Linked DNA regions of Canis lupus familiaris. The protein of the gene in region 2 purifies or fractionates together with the protein of the main gene of each other region. This does not show direct contact. Links are inferred from orthologs where the notes say so. Each region holds a gene or a part of one and is shown on either strand. Other genes may lie near its edges.

What was found.
Region 1: the proteins of BRD1 (region 2) and YWHAE purify together in Homo sapiens (affinity purification with mass spectrometry; 3 studies listed by BioGRID and IntAct, with this or other methods). This does not show direct contact. The link is inferred for Canis lupus familiaris from reciprocal best matches to the Homo sapiens genes BRD1 and YWHAE.
Region 3: the proteins of BRD1 (region 2) and ING4 purify together in Homo sapiens (affinity purification with mass spectrometry; 5 studies listed by BioGRID and IntAct, with this or other methods). This does not show direct contact. The link is inferred for Canis lupus familiaris from reciprocal best matches to the Homo sapiens genes BRD1 and ING4.

The regions. Positions count from the first base shown.
Region 1 is NC_049230.1:45,482,738-45,486,390, forward strand, and holds part of YWHAE (14-3-3 protein epsilon), read right to left. Parts: intron 3,256-3,653; coding exon 3,149-3,255; intron 2,477-3,148; coding exon 2,270-2,476; intron 1-2,269. UniProt on the Homo sapiens protein: Adapter protein implicated in the regulation of a large spectrum of both general and specialized signaling pathways. Binds to a large number of partners, usually by recognition of a phosphoserine or phosphothreonine motif.
Region 2 is NC_049231.1:18,292,299-18,295,951, reverse strand, and holds part of BRD1 (bromodomain-containing protein 1), read right to left. Parts: intron 1,009-3,653; coding exon 511-1,008; intron 1-510. UniProt on the Homo sapiens protein: Scaffold subunit of various histone acetyltransferase (HAT) complexes, such as the MOZ/MORF and HBO1 complexes, that acts as a regulator of hematopoiesis.
Region 3 is NC_049248.1:7,717,986-7,720,660, forward strand, and holds part of ING4 (inhibitor of growth protein 4), read right to left. Parts: intron 2,216-2,675; coding exon 2,144-2,215; intron 494-2,143; exon of another isoform or gene 358-493; coding exon 191-357; intron 11-190; coding exon 1-10.

The DNA.
Region 1 (3,653 bases), on a different chromosome or scaffold from region 2:
TATGTAAGCTATTCGTTAGAATTTAAAAGAAACAACATTTACTGGATATATTGTATGATGTATACCAAGTGATGTGGAACACTGGTGGAGAAACAGAAGAGAGGGAAAAAACAATCTCAGTCCACAGTGAATATCTAGAAAATAGAGGACTGACATATAAAACCATTATAAAACAAGTATGAAGTGCTTCTCTGGAGAAAGTACTTCAGAAACCCTAGAGGACAAGAAAAAGGAAAAATCAAATATAAACTCATCTTAAAGGGTAGGGAAAAGAATGAATGCACACTTAAGATTAAAGCAAATGCATAAAAATAAAGGCATGGAGAAGACTTAACTCCAAGTGATATGTGGGACAAGCAGACTGGAGAATGACAATGAAAGACCCAACCAATACTATTAGCTGAACAGAGATAGCTATAACTTCTTCAGCTGAGACCTGTACCTGTTTAAACTCGACGAGGCATTTAGAATGTTTTTATTTTTAAGTATTTATTTTTAAAGATTTTATTAATTCATGAGAGACAGAGAGAGGCAGAGACACAGGCAGAGGGAGAAGCAGGCTTCCCATGGGAGCCGAATGTGGGACTCCACCCCAGGACCCTGGGATCACAACCTGAGCCAAAGGCAGACGCTCAACCACTGAGCCACCCAGGTGCCCTTAGAATGTTTTTAGATGAATAAATAATGGTCTGCATTCAAATGAATCCACCTCACAAAAGGACAATCTCTCCCTTTCATCGAGTATCTGATCCCTACATACTGAAGACTGTAAACTATAAACAACAAATACATTATACCAATTATATGAAGTACCTAAAATAGGCAAATTCACAAAGAGAAAAGGTAGAAATAACTGGGGTCAAGGGTGGGCGAATCTGGACAATGACCCGGTACCAGTTAGTGTTTGTTTCAGGTGATTAAAAAGTTTTGGAAATAACTTAGTGGTGACAGTTACACAATATTGCAGGTGTATTTAATGCCATTCAATTATACAACTTAAAAATGGTTAGAAGAATGAGGGGCGCCTGAGTGGCTCAGTCATGAAGAATCTGATTCTTGATTTCAACTCAGGTTATGATCTCAGTGTCATAGGACCAAGTTCTGCATCAGCTCTGAGCCCAGCAGGGAGTCTGCTGGAGATTCTCTTTGCACCCCACCCCCACTCACTCATTATCTCTAAAATAAATAAATCTTTTGGGTGGCTGGGTGGCTCAGTCCATTGACCATCTGCTGTTGGCTGAGGTCATGATTTTAGGGTCCTGGGATCGAGCCCTGCAGGGAGTCTCCCTCCCTCTCTCTGCTCATGCTCTCCCTCCCTCTCAAATAAATAAAATCCTTAAAATTAAAATAATAATAATAATAAATCTTTAAAAAATGGTTAGAGTGATAAACTGTTATATTTTGCAATAACTTTTACAAGAAAAAGCCATGTACATAGAGGTAGCCCTTAAATTTCTATCTGTATCAAATATTGGCAACAATCTAAAATACATATGAGGGAATTATTAACATAGAAAGATGGAAAACTATTCATATTAGAATAGAAAATACAAAATATGTACACTAAGAGCCTAACTATGTTAACATACCTACAAATGACTAAAAGCTCATATATAAAAAAAAGAAAATAGGGATCCCTGGGTGGCGCAGTGGTTTAGCGCCTGCCTTTGGCCCAGGGCGCGATCCTGGAGATCCGGGATTGAATCCCACGTCAGGCTCCCGGTGCATGGAGCCTGCTTCTCCCTCTGCCTGTGTCTCTGCCTCTCTCTCTCTCTCTGTGTGACTATCATAAATAAATAAAATTAAAAAAAAAAGAATAATTCTATTCTAAATCCACCCTCTGGGACACCTAGGTGGCTCAGCGGTTGAATGCCTGCCTTCGGTCCAGGGTGTGATCCTGGGGTCCTGGGATGGAGTCCCACCTCAAGCTCCCTGCATGGAGCCTGCTTCTCTCTCTGCCTGTGTCTCTCATTAACAAATAAAATCTTAAAAAAAAAAATAATAATAATAATTCCACCCTCCCACTAACAAGTTAAAATTTCAACCTACCAACCAAAATTGTCCCCATCAACATAATCTAAAACTGCTATCCTAGTGAACAGAGATAGAGTCGGTCTTAAAATAATCCAAAGAAGTTTCATTAAAAGCCAAAAGAATTCTTACATGTCCAAGGCCACAAAGGCAATCCCAGGAAATAAGACAAATAATTCTCTCTTGTAATGTTTTTCACTTTCCCAGTGAGAACTTTTGTTTCTCTTCCATGACTTACCTGCAGGCACGGTCGGGGGAATTAAGAATTTCATAGTAGAATACAGAAAAGTTGAGAGCAAGACCTAAGCGAATTGGATGCGTTGGTGGAAGTTCTGTCATTGCAATATCACTAGCAGCTTTATAAGCCACTAGGCTGTTCTCTGCAGCCTCCTTCCTGTCATTTCCTGTGGCAAATTCAGCCAGATACCTGTGGTAGTCCCCTTTCCTAAAACAAAACAAAATAAAACAAATAGAATTAGGAAGAATGCTTTTTAAATGAAAGTAAACTGTTAAAATTTTTCTATAATCTATAAAATGAAATGTAACAAAAATTATTTTAATAATCAGCATGTATACTTCAATAACTTCACTCTATCAGGAAAGACTATTCAGTTTTCCTTCTCAGAGTTCAGAATACTAAATATAAGCAAAATCTTAGAGAAATTAATTGAAAAGCCTCTAAAAAAAAAAAATCAATAAATTTATTGCCAACTAGAATTAAACATAAAAAAGTGGTTCCAAAAAATGGCATGACAGTTAATTGTGAAATAAAACTTCTACATAAAACATTAAAACTGAACTATGTAATGTATTGCAACAGTTGATGGGTTAACTCCACACAAAAACAAATGAAAAGAGGTAAAACCTAGTACTCTTATAGTAAATAGTCTGAGCATCTTAAATGCAACAATAACTGTTCATTAGCAGTGAATATGCAAATGAGCACTCTAAGTTTTGAAAATCATTCCTCCCATATAACTATCCTTTAAACATTAAACAATTATTCTTAAATAAAAGTTGAACACCTACACAAAAAAGTGATAATTCAAAAAAAAAGTGATAATTCTAAGGGGGCTAACATTTAATCTGACATTTTCCCTTCTAGTATAGAACCTACATTTTATAATAGAAAACCTTGGACTCGCCAGTGTTAGCTGCTGGAATGAGGTGTTTGTCCAGTACATCCAGAATGTCACAACAGATTAACTTTAGCTCAGTCTCAACCTGAAAAAAAAAGTAAAAAATTGTTTGTTTACTTAATTGTAACATGAATTACGACATATTTGCCCACTGGTTTTGAGGAAGAGAGCCAGAGTAAACAGAATACACATCTCTATCTAAATCTTTTTTAAAAATTTTTATAAATAAATAAATAAATAAATAAATAAATAAATAAATTTAAAAAATGCTGAATCTCCCCTGCTCTTGATTTTAAAAAAAGCAGAGAAAAGCTGTCTCCAGGTTAGACATTATCTTCCTTCTACATGCTAAAAAACAAAAACCAAAACCAACCCCCTACACACACACACACACACACACACACACGGGCAACCTGGTTGGCTCAGCTGGTGGAGCATGTGACTCTCAATCTCATAGTTATTCAAACCTCACGTGAGGTATAA
Region 2 (3,653 bases):
GCGGCGTTGGGGGCACCACCACAGGCACAACCAGGGGGCCGAACCATGGTGCCACCTAGCGGGCACTTGCCTCCTCGGCTGTCACCCGGAGGCCAACAGGCCGCCTCCCGCAAGCCGCGGGGGGCGAGCGCCACGACACGTGAACGGGAGCCTCCAGCAAATGAACCGGGCACAAGGACAAAAGCCCGGCGGTGCGCTCAGCCACTCAGGAAGTCACCCCACTACACACGGCCACAGCCCCACAGGACGGCGAGGGGACGTCACAACGCCCTCTGATTACAGCCCAAAGTGGTGCCGCGGCCCCAGACAGACCCCTGTGTATGTCCTGGGACACACGGCGGGCGCGACACAACCCCACCGGGCCCCCGTCCCCCCGCGATGGCGCCACCTCCACAGGCAGGCCACCGCGGCCCCTGGACGGTCCACCGTGCACTGCAGCGGCGGGGGGCACTGCCCGGCGGCTCCACCAACACCCCTGGAAGAGAGAACGCGGCGTTCCGTGGCATTTACCTGTGTCCAGGCGCTTTCCCGGGGACCCCTCCTCCACCTCAGAGTCGCCGCAGGTGCTCCGCGACCTTTTTCTTGGCTGCAGAAGAGTCTCCAACCTCGGAAGGACTACAGACAAAAAGGTTTTGGTCCCTAGCTGAGGAGAAGTTGGCTGGGTTTCAGTGTTCTTGGCAGACTTTGGGGGGCTTACACTTTTCGATTTGCAGAAGAGAACAGAAGTGCGTCTGTTTACATCGCTTGCTGGCTCCGCCACCGCGGAGGCCGCCGCCGCCGGCGCATCGCCACTACTGGCGAGGGTGGGCTCTGGAGGGTGTCCGATTACCAGTGCGCTCTGAGTGCAAGTGCTATGTGATTCATTATCAAATGTGACTCTTTTGAATAGTTTACTCTGCTCTGGGTTGAGTTCTACTGGTTTGAGGGTTGGTGGTTCTGAATTAGTCTCCGAGTTTGAAGGAAGAGGTAATGCATCTGATGGTTCAAGTTTAGGGGGAGATTTATCTCCTGAAAAAATTATAAATAAAGTGATTTTTGAAAACTGATAATTATAAAATCTATTATAAAACTTACTATAAATGTGAAGTCCACCAAAACACTAATTCAATTAAGGAAACAAAGCATCACACATACTGTCTGCAAGCAGTGAGAGGCCGCAGCGGGCCGTCAGGCTACACTGTGTGCGCTGCCCTAACACCGAAGACGGGGTGGCCTGGTGCCCGGGCTCCAGGTGTGCACGTGTATCACGTTACCCTGCCAACGGCTGTTGAGGATTCCCTCCACATACGCCAAAACTAGCACATCATTCGACTTTAGGAGCATCTCTACAGTCGACACTTCACTTACCTTGAGTAAGAGACACGTCTCACATAACCAGGAGGTTAACGGGCACCCCACGCGCTCCTGACCTGGGCCACGTGGTCAGCAAGCAGGGGACACGAGCACGTAAATCACTCCTCTGACCAGGCTGTGCCCGCCTGAGGCGCGACCCTCACGGGACCAGGAAAACCTCCCTTCCAGGCCCCAGACCGGCTACCCTCCACGCCACGCTCTGAACGCCCATAAAGTACGTTCTTTTTCCTAAATCTGACTTTAAAAATAAAAACAGTCTTTGGAAAACTACCTTTGCCTCGTAATTTAAAAAGCTTCTTAAAACCATTCATATCAAAACAAGAAGTCTGAAGAGCCACGAGCAGGGCTTTACCCCAGGGCCGGGGAGGAGGCCGGCCCCCAGGCACCAAGCGGGCAGCGGCGCAGCCCCCGGACAGGCCTCTGCTTGGGCTGCGACACGCGGGAGATCAAGCCAGGACGAGCGGTTTACGTGATCCGAGAGGGTACCCGTCCTCTCTACGCACACTTCTCATTAAAGCTGCAAATTGCCCCAAAAGCAGGCAGTACCGTAACTCCGGTTGTTCTGAAAGCGGAAAGCTACAGCTGCTGTGCCCCCTCCCGTCTCAGAACCACGTCCTGAGGAACCTGCCCGAGGGGCCCTGCTCGGACTCAGCAGGTCACAGCAGGACCCGAGCCCCTCTGTGCACCCCCCCAGCGGGTCCCCGGGCATCCGAGCTGCGGACACAGTGGCCAACGCCAGGCAGGGCTCTGCATGCTCGGGCCCCGTGTCCTCCCAGGCAGCACCTGCGGCCAGCACGGAGGAATCACCGCGGGCCCTCCCCCAGCGAGCGCCCCGGCTCACCTCTGGCCTCTCTCCTGGGCCTCACGCCAGGCTCCCACCCTGACCCCGCACCAGCGGTCCTGCCCCCACCTCTGCCCTGGCCAGGTGGGCGTCACCAACACGGGGGTGGCCACGAGGGCCAGCAGGGCGCAAGGGAGCCCTCCGTCCCCACGCACCCGCCTGCGCCTCACCAGACACAAAGGCAAAGATGTGCCTGCAGGGGCCTCCTCTCCCTGCGCCTACCCTGCACCTCTGCGTTCGGCCCAGACAGCTCACGGGAGTACTGGGGAGGTGCGCGGGGCACGAAGCACCGCCGCCAGCCGGGCACCACGTGGGCTGCCAACCCTGGGCCTGGCGAGCCCCACGGCTGCACCTCTGCGCCCGGCCGCACCCTGGGCCGACCCCACACCACAAGCTAACGCACAAACACAAACACTCGCTGCCACTAACAATGACGGCATCGAGCCGCACGCGAGCCATGCTCGACTCCCTTCTGGAATAAGCCCTGTTCACGTAAATACCAACGTCCCAAATTCCACTTCTTCCTTCATAAGAGCAAAGCAGTTCCCACCAGGAGCCTGTTTCACACTAGCTGCTCTGGAAATTCTAAAGATGCACTTGTGGCTGCAGAGAGGCCGCTCGCCAGCTATCCGACGAGACCCATACACCCCAGAGCGCGGGAGCTCGGAGGCTCCGGCGTGGGGCCCTGGCCTCCCGTGACCCTGACCACAGGCTGTCTCACCACCACCCGGCCTCAGGCTTCCTCACCTCATCCTCAAGAGAGAGAGCGACAGACGCACGTGCTCCCCAAGAGCCCTCTTATAAACATGACCGGTCCTCGCACGCTCCCACGTGCCATGCGGGGGAAGCAGGACCCCGCAAGCCGCAAACCCGCTCCTGTGCGGACTCGGATACAAATCACAATAGGCCTGAGGGAGCCTGAGAGAGCCTGAGGGAGCCTTCGGGAAGAGAAAGGCACAATCTTGAAACACGAGGACAGGGCCCAAAGCACAGCTGGAGTCCCAGAGAGGACATGAAAGCCCTGGGCTCGCAGTCCTCCCAAAGCCACCTGTCTTCGCTACCCTGCGCCCATCAGGCACCCGGGACCACGCTCTGGGAAGAGGCGGAGACCGAAGCGCCCGCGCTAGAACACCTGCAGCGCTGACACAGAGCTGAGGAGGAGCGCAGGACCCCCCAGAGGAGGGCACCTCAGCAGGCCCAACCCCATCAGAACCCCCAAGGTGACAACGCAGACGGGTGCCCAGGTGACAGGATCACCTCGCAGCCCCACGCCCTCATCTTTCAGAGTACTCTCAGTGCTCGTCCCGTGACCAGGATCATGAGATCCCCTTTCTACGCCAGCTCCCAGAGCGTCTGCTCCTGGCTGTCCCCTCCAGCCTTGCAGGAGAACACCCCACCCCACGTGGAGGTCCCGCTGCTGTCTGCGGCCTCCCCGAAGCCTGCCTTCTCCCCGCCTGCA
Region 3 (2,675 bases), on a different chromosome or scaffold from region 2:
GTTTATCCACCTAGGGGCAAAGGAAGGAAAAGAAAGAGGTACACAGCTGGTTCCAGAAAAAGAAAATAAGGCTAAGGCATACTCTGTGTCTCTCCCAGACCCAGAACAGATCCCAACACAGCTGAAGGAGGGTTCTAGGACCCCGAGGATTAGACAGGAGGTAGGTGGGGAGCCATGAACAGGGCCATACCATCTCATAGGTCTGCATGGCAAGCTGCACCTTGTCGTCACCAAATTCCTTGCATTTGCCATAGGCTTCCTGGATCTGTTTGAGAAGAGCCAATTTTTCCTCGGAGCTCAGGCTGCGGGCGCTACTCATATACTCAGTGGCCAACTTGTCAATTTCAGCCTTCAGGTCTACAACAGAGACAGAGGCCTGGTCACAAAGGCCCCGGAGTGGCTAGGTGAAACACACTTCTTCCTCTTGTTTCTTGGACCTTTGCCATTGACCATCATCATAACCTTCGAACCAAAACGCCCCGAGAGTTCACAGGTACTGTGCCACTTACTCAAGAAACGCAACACATTGACAGTATTTGTTTTAGAGGTGCCTCCAGGTGCTGAAAACATTGCTATCAGAGTTGGAACTAAAATTCCTGAAAACCACGGAGGGGGTCTCTGCCCGTTGCACTAATCCGAAGGCTATTTTTGTTATGTCTGAGGATGCTTCTTCGCAGGGCTTGCTGCTTCTTGAACCATGAGTCTTGTCTAACAGGCTTCCTGATTTCTTGTCTCAAAAACATTCTGTGGCAGCTCTGAGTGCGGCAAAGCTGGCTGGGTCATCTGTTGCTGCTGCTGCCTTCCAGGTCTGTACATCTGTGACTCATCGTTTAAAACTAGGCCCTAGTTCATTTATGTAACAGTTCTTCTACCCTATTTTGCTCATCGTCTGCAACCTGCTTGTATTTCCCATCACTTTCTTTTCCTGTTTGTTCATCTTAGATGTTGCTCCAAACATTTTAATAGCGGAAGGCTGGCGACGTCCCCAGACACTGAGGCTGTAGATGTCTACTGCCTCCTATTTGGTAGGACTCATAAAAAATGTTGATGAAAAGAGGCCAAAGAAGGACTATAACAAGGTGCCATGACAGACAACCAGAAGGCTCTGTGTACACACTATATTTGTGTCCCGTTTCATGTGATGCCTTGGGAGGAAGCTGAAAATGCATGTAGTTCAATAATCTCCCAACCGGTCTTCCTATGCATGAACTCAAGAGTAGGGACTGTGTTATACAAAGGAAGCAAGCTGGTTCTCAGCATTCAGCAGGCAGTTCTCGGGGGTCTAGACCCAGGATTTTCCATGATGTTCACCTTTTCATGAGTAAACTTACCCAGAGTAGCTGAAATCACAGCTTTAGGTATTATAACACCAGCCTGTCATATCCTTAAGCATGGCTACATAAGGACGGAAGATAAGACATAGGTCTTATATATAGATATCCTTTAGCAGGTATGGGGGACGGCTCCAAAAGATGATATCTTTGCCCCTGAAGAGACCAATCTGACCACTGTAGTGTAGTCTTAGGCTCTAAGTGAATGCCTCAACGCAGCCAGATTTGCTCAACATCCAAGGAAGGCCACAGATGGTATCTAGTGCTTCTATAAGGTTGAAGAATACAGTGTAGAGATCCTGTTGTTAATTGCTACTTTTTCTTCGTTTTTTCTTTCTCTCTTTCTTTCTTTCTTTTTTTTTTTTTTTTTTCTCTCTTTCTTTCTTAAGAGCTTCTCTACCAACATGACTTGTGGTCTACAGCCACACTGAATTTTTTTTTTTCCACACTGAATTTTTTTTATAGTAACATTAACAATCCAGTGGGGTAGAAACATCCCAGTCTTCCTATAGATATATTGAATATAGAGAATAGAAATGATTCTAGAGTTGACTTCTTTTTTAATTCCTCTCGCAGATACAAAGAACATAGCATCCTTGAATTCTTGAGGCATCATCACAATACTCTACTTATTATGGAAAAGCTGATCTAGAAGTGCAAATCTTCACCGTTCTCCTTTTAAGAATATAAGAGAGTAAAAAAAGAGGAGCCACAGTTCCCCAGTTCAGACCAGATGATACAGTAACATCAAAGAGAAAAAGAAGTGATCGTACAATCTCATTATACACTCAAAATCCCTACTCTATACATACCCTCTGTTCTTTGGTCCAGGTCCCTCATGAGCTGAAAGTTTCTCTGCAGTTCGAAGGGAAGGTTTTCGATACCTAGGGAGAAGAAAAACTGAGAATCATGGCACTTCATAGGCCTGATAGCTGATTTTATTTTATTTTTCTTTTTTTTTTTTTAAACATATTTTTTTTAATTTTTATTTATTTATGATAGTCACAGAGAGAGAGAGAGAGAGAGAGAGAGAGAGGCAGAGACACAGGCAGAGGGAGAAGCAGCCTCCATGCACCGGGAGCCCGACGCGGGATTCGATCCCGGGTCTCCAGGATCGCGCCCTGGACCAAAGGCAGGCGCCAAACCGCTGCGCCACCCAGGGATCCCCTATTTTTAAAAGATTTTATTTATTTATTCATGAGAGACACACAGAGAGAGAGGCAGAGACACAGGCAGAGGGAGAAGCAGGCTCCATGCAGGGAGCCTGACGTGGGGCTTGATCTGGGGACTCCAAGATCACACCCTGGGCCGAAGGCAGGCGCCAAACTGCTGAGCCACCCAGGG